Linked DNA regions of Oryzias latipes. The protein of the gene in region 1 interacts with the protein of each later gene in a pairwise test. Links are inferred from orthologs where the notes say so. Each region holds a gene or a part of one and is shown on either strand. Other genes may lie near its edges.

Region 1 (3,217 bases):
GAAGAACGCGGGCAGGAGGCTCCGCCTTTGTTCATACAGACACGTAACGTTACGCAAACAAAACATGTAGTGATATTCATGGAAATCTAACGGTGCACGTTCATGTTTGGTGTTACAGAGTGAAGGAGAACAGTAACAACCCCCCCCCCCCAACACAAAATCCTCCGGCGGGCGTCTATGTCGCGCACTCAAGAACGCACCCAGCTTGTAATGGAAATGAATACAATGGAAATTAATGATTAGAACGCAGTAAATTTGTCGTATTTCCTCGCGAGAAGGAAATTTCTGTTGTAGAATGAGGATGTGTGTGCTGCTGAAACCTCATGTGTGTGTGTGTGTGTGTGTGTGTGTGTGTGTGTGTGAGTAGAGTGAGCGCGTGCAGCGTAGAGGGAGTGAAGGAAAACAGAAATGAAAGGTTCCCCCCAGAAACCCTTGAAGTCTGAACACAGGACTAGAAAAAGTAAATTATCAGCAAAGATGAACGTGTTTAATTATAGTTCCAATCATCATATGCAGAACTTTCAGAAAAAAAATAATAAAAACTTTCAAATTAAAAAAAGGTGCTGTGATGAGGTCATCACCGCGGTGATGAGGTTATCGTCACACCCCTACCTGAGACCTTTGTAGACGCCAACAGCAATGCAAACGCAGCAGCTTAGTTTGGTCAGAATGTGGTGAAAAGTCCGTCTTCTGCCTGTCAGGTGAGCTTTCCTGCGGCTCCTGCGTTTGCCTTGTCGTCTGTTTTCCATGTCTTTGTTTGGCTGTCATGCTGTTTCCTGTGTTTCTGCACGTTTTGATGGTTTGTTTCTGTTCTTTCTCCTCCACCGCTTTCCCTCGAACCCTCAGATTTAGAGACCTCAGTGGACAGTCGCTGCACTACGGACAGTGCCGACAGTGCCTTTTTTGGCCGCCGTTATTGATCGCCGGCTTCCCCCTTTCTATCAGTTCCCTCCCCGGGTCGTCCTCTTCGGTCCTGCTTCAGCCCGGAAGTAAGCTTTGTGATCAGACTGCAGGACAAACGGGAGAAAGATGCTTTTCTTTCCCTTCTGTCGTGTTGAAGTTCTGATCCATCCCTTCTGTGAATGTTCTGGCTGAGCTGCACCAACAGAGGTTCTCCTCTGTAGAGAGTCTGTGTTGGGACTGCATGTTGGCACCAGGGGGGCTGCAGCACTAAATGAGCTGCTGAGCTGAGACGGCCGTCCTGCCGTCATGCGGCGTCGGCTCATTCGGGAGCACGACGTGGTTTAAAGAAGCAAAACCAACATTTCGTTTCCGTGAGGCCCTTCTCACCTGTCCTCATTACCGTTTTAGGCTCTCTGTTGGTGTTTATGTCTGCAAGTATTACTGATATTTTATTCAGAGATGGTCTCCAGACGCCTCATTTGTGTTCGTGTGTTGTGTGTTTTTGGGTTTCCTTGTATGTACGACTCTGAAATGAGCCTAATTAAAATCCAAATAAGGTTGGCTCATAATTGAAAGTTAATGGGAAGCAGTTGCATGCGCATAAATGACTCAGAAACCCTTCAAACATGCAGCATTCATATTCTGAGCAGAGTCTCAGGTGTTCATGCAGCTCTGGAACGTCCGCCACAAAAACAGAGTTTATTAGAAGGAGCTGCATTTCCAGAAGAAACAGCAGGGTTGATGCTATACTGCTGAATGAAAATGAAACTTAAAGAATAACATTTGTCAAAAAACAAAAAAAGAGTAAATAAATAAATGATCAAAGTTGATCATAAATAAAGTGAAAACAGCACAATAACAAAAAAATATTTGTGAAAAATGCCAGAGCCGGGTATCGAACCAGCGAGCTTCTGCTCCAAGGATTCCCCTTTATTTCAATGGAGGCAGAAATCCTGGAATATCTGGAAAAGTTCAAGGATTTGAAGGAGCAAAAATCACAGCTGGAAAAAGATGAAATAGCTGAACATTTGAATAGTTGAATGGTTAAAATAGATGAAAAATTGTAGAAAGATACTAGAATAAAGAAAGAGAAGTCTGTGGGAGGAAGTGGAATTAAAAATGATGAAACTCTAGCAAAAATGTTTCTAGATTTCAGCAAAAAGCCGGAGTCCAAAGACCAGATTGTTTGAATGAGGGTAATATTTCCAAATAACGCCTTTTCGCTGCCTTGTTGCTGCTTCCCTGCAGGTTTTCCCTCGGTATCACGGAACAGAGAAGCCTATCAGTCCATCGACCAGCAGGACGAGTCGTCCAGCCCACCAAACCCCTTCAACCAGGCCCAGGACACCACCCGACCAGGAGTCCGCACGTACTGAGCGCCGCCGGACGCCAACCGCGCAGCCTTCTCTCTGACTTTATATGCAGCGACGGGCGACGAATGTGTGCAAAACCCCACAAATCCTTCTGGTGAATAAATACTTGGGGTGAACTCTTCATCTTCCAGTGAATGTCGTGTTTTCAGGAGGAAATCTGAACCTCCTGCTGCTCGTCTGCTGTTACCAACGCGATTCCAGTCAAGCTGTCAAGTAGATTATTTTTTACGTGGCATTTACAGACGGTTACAGACAGTTCTGTGAGTTATAGTCGTACCTTTTTGCAGTATTTTATGACTATTTTGCAGAAACTCTTTGCTTTAACAAACTGAAATAAATGTTTGACCGAAAACTCAGCGTTTGGGGTTTGAATCCTTGGACCAGAACGGAAACACTTCAGTAATGTTGATGCTGCACAAACACATCTGCCGCTCTGCACATCCCAACACAGAAACACTCCATTTCCCAGCGTGCTTAGCGTCTCAGCGAATAACTCATCCGTTTTTCTCAATGGAGCCGTTTGACAACATTTACGGCTTTTATTCTGTGAAACCTGGAGATTCCTGCTTTTCGTTTTGGTTTTTCTTTCTTTTATTATTTTTCAAAACAAATGTTTATATTTTGAGTAAATGATTTGGCTTAGATATTCTTTATTTACTACATTTTTGACATTTCTCTCTTTCCAAAACTCCGACATGACGGCGGTTTTTGATAATGTAACCTTTAAACCTTTATGAAGATCATTTAGGATTTGATCTAGTTTGAATTTAGCAGTTTTTAGGATGTTTGCAGCTCTCATTATTCTGTTGGTTTAAAACATTTTTGACATTTTAAAAAAAATCATATTTTAGCCTTTTTTAAACCAAATTTGAGTGTAAATTATCTTCACCTTTTTAGAGTTTTTTTTTAAGGCAGATGTAGAATTCAGTTTGTAGGTTTAA
Region 2 (3,041 bases), on another chromosome or scaffold:
CAGTTGAACTTTGAAACCAGTCAAGTAGGGGCAAATATTCCCTTTAGTTTAGGAAATTATGGACAGATTTGGTCAAGTTTTAATAGTCATTTTTTTCTCCATTCCTCTTTTTATTAAAATGTTTTGTTCTTTTATTTATTTATAAATAAAACTGTTGTCTTTATGAATGAAAGCCTTTGGATAAATATAGCATTACTTTACTGATTCTTTCTTCACATAGCGTAAAATAACGGGAAAAAAGGTATCAAACCATCAATTTAAAGGTTTAAGTTAATGATTCCTAAAATGGTGAAATCATTTCATCAAATTTAGTTTAGACGATACCAAAACAATTCTCAATTACAACAAATATGTTCTAGGCTCCATAAATGCTTGCAAAAAGAAGAAACCATTCTTAAGTAAATTCTTAACACTACAAATGAAGATCTTTTGCACACATTATTCACAAGTCTTCATCATAAATTGCAATTATATTGAGAAAAAAAAATACTCCAGCATTCTCCAGTGTTATTCTTGCATGAAAAGAAAGAGTATGTGTACCTTTATTAAAAACATAAAGCAAAATTCATTGAATTCTATGTGATTTATTCAGTTAGTACTGCAATCAATTCAAATGTTAGAACGTTTGACGAAAGAACAAAAGCATTTATATATACATAAATGTTTCTCAGGGGTGTACAACCTTTGTTTTGTAGAAATTTGAAGATCAGTTTTTCCATTTTTGCAGCGATTACAAATGAATAAAAAATGTGGGTCATTAGGCATCAAACTGACTTAAAGTTTTTAATCTGATAAATCATGATTTTTCTCACAGTTTAAAGGGAAAAAAAATCATCAACCTTATCTGCAACAATAAAAAAAAGTTGAACAAGGAAAACAAAAATCCCACTCTTAAAGAATATAAAAGTAATAATTTGGTTTTATTGAATGCACATTTGAAAAAATGTCAGTAGCATTATTGTTTATATAAAGTAAAAGACACAGCTTTTGTTAGTAAATCTAGTGTTGGAAGTGCAGATACTGGTTTGGTAATGGATAATGGGCAGCAGCTCATGTTAAAAAGTAAGATAACAATATTAGTAACAAAAGAATACAAAAATATTCCATTTTAGTAACAGCTAGACAAACACACTATCAAATATAACAATCCCTTAGGTAGCTAGAGAAGATATTTATCCTGCTTTAGGTAATATCTGGTGAGTGTAAAAAACGAATCCAACAGTTTGGATGAAATAGAATATAAAATGCCACTAAACAGTCTCCCAGTAACATGATAAACCAACATGTAACACTAACAAGACAAACTTTAAAAGCTTGGCTAAGAAAGATCTCAGGTGAAACATACATGTGCTTCTATAGTTCAGTTGGATTTGCGAATCGTGTTTACGGCTGTTTGAGCCCAGCTACCCGCGGCGTCCGAGAGGTTTGAGGCTCGGCGTGAGACGTTCGAGCGGCTGAGTTTCCCGCTGGGGTCCAACTTCCTCATCAGCTCCTCCGGAGCGTTTCTTCAGAGCAGGCCTGCAAAGGCAACAGCGGTTGGAGCAAGAGCACAAACGGGTAACACAAAACTGTAAAGGCCCCGCACAACCCAGGATGAGCATAAACAGATATCCGAGGGTTGTTCATCAAGAAACACATAAAGGAAATGAAACTAACAGAATCAAAAACATCTTTTTTAGTTTATTTCTTTAAGAAGTAAATACAGTATTTTAGTTGAACTGTCTGGGATCTGATGAAAAATACCAAGATTTTAAAAATCAACTTGTATGAACATTAGAGAACAGAAAACATGCTCTACAAAATTGCCTGATAGAAAGTCGAGTCTCTGTTGTTGGTCAGGGATAGTCATGTGTTCAGTGGAACTAACCATTCCTTGAGTTAAGGAGGATATAAAGCATTTATTCAAAAGAAGAAAAAACAATGATTTTTGCTCTGTGCAGAATGTAAGGTCCCATAGATCCTGGAATATAATCCTCTCTAAATACTCTATAAGCATCTTTTGCAAATGGCTTTTTCTTGTTGTTCTATTGTAATACCGGTAATCCCTTCACAAACAAGATTTAGGAGAATTATTGGAATAAAAAAAGAAAAGCTCCCTTGTCTGCACAAATGAGTAACTTGCCCATAAAGGTCCACTACGATCCGTTTTTGATGTCAAAAATGTTTCTGATGGTCTTTCAATCATGATTATGCAGTTTTTAGTCAAAATAAAAAACCCTGTGTCGTTTTCTATGGCACAGTTTCCGTGGAGGGGCAGAAGTTCATAAAAAAATTGCCTCCGAGTTGTGGGTGGAGCAAACCCCGCCCTCTTTCCCCAGCGTATTTTCTATGTCACAAATGCATTCCTTATTCAGGCAGTGCTCTTTTTGCCTGCTCCTAACTTACAATGTTTTTGAATAAAGAAATACTAATAAATGCAATTTTGAGCTTAATTTTCTTCATATACATGTCCTCTGTTTTCAGAAAAATACCACAAAACAGGTTAAAACCAGAACGTTCACTGGAATGGGTCTATAAGAGCATCACTCATCAACACAGAGGGTAGAGCAGCATTTCTGAATTGTAACATCAAACAACACTGACAATAGAAAAAACAATGCAGGTTATCAAACAAAGGAAACTCTTTAGTTTTGTGTTGAAAGCAGACTGGAAGTGGATGCAAGTTAACTGCCATGCACAGTCATGCAGTAAAATGAGTAAAACGCATCTCTCCATGTTTTACCTTCCACACTAGTCCACAATTAGGGGACACTTCAACTGCCTGTAGAGAAACAAACGTGTTTTACTTCTAATGAGATGTTTCACAGGATGGAGGACAGCAGCAAAGCTGCAAGACTGAACAGACAAGACACAAGGTCACCGTTCACATTTATGTTTATTTTTTTTAACTCTACATCTGATTCTCTATGGACTGGATGAGCATTTCTAATGTCAACACAGGAAATAATGGAAAAGGAAGAAGAAAAAAAAACAATTTCCTCTCACATCTGTATTTGCGTCCGCCTGCCCTCCTCCTTTTGTGAAAAGACACGTTTACAACT

Evidence for each region. The genes of interacting proteins can lie anywhere in the genome.
Region 2: the proteins of agtrap (region 1) and uncharacterized protein LOC101171023 interact in binary tests that used the Homo sapiens proteins (3 or more experiments, as listed by UniProt). The two-hybrid records come from large-scale screens. The link is inferred for Oryzias latipes from reciprocal best matches to the Homo sapiens genes AGTRAP and PIMREG.

Annotation. Positions count from the first base shown.
Region 1 is NC_019863.2:32,256,355-32,259,571, reverse strand, and holds the end of agtrap (type-1 angiotensin II receptor-associated protein), read left to right. Parts: intron 1-846; exon of another isoform or gene 847-989; intron 990-2,151; coding exon 2,152-2,279; 3' UTR 2,280-2,632; downstream 2,633-3,217. UniProt on the Homo sapiens protein: Appears to be a negative regulator of type-1 angiotensin II receptor-mediated signaling by regulating receptor internalization as well as mechanism of receptor desensitization such as phosphorylation.
Region 2 is NC_019872.2:12,647,443-12,650,483, forward strand, and holds the end of uncharacterized protein LOC101171023, read right to left. Parts: intron 2,762-3,041; coding exon of another isoform or gene 2,731-2,761; exon of another isoform or gene 2,723-2,730; intron 1,519-2,722; coding exon 1,404-1,518; 3' UTR 565-1,403; downstream 1-564. UniProt on the Homo sapiens protein: During mitosis, may play a role in the control of metaphase-to-anaphase transition.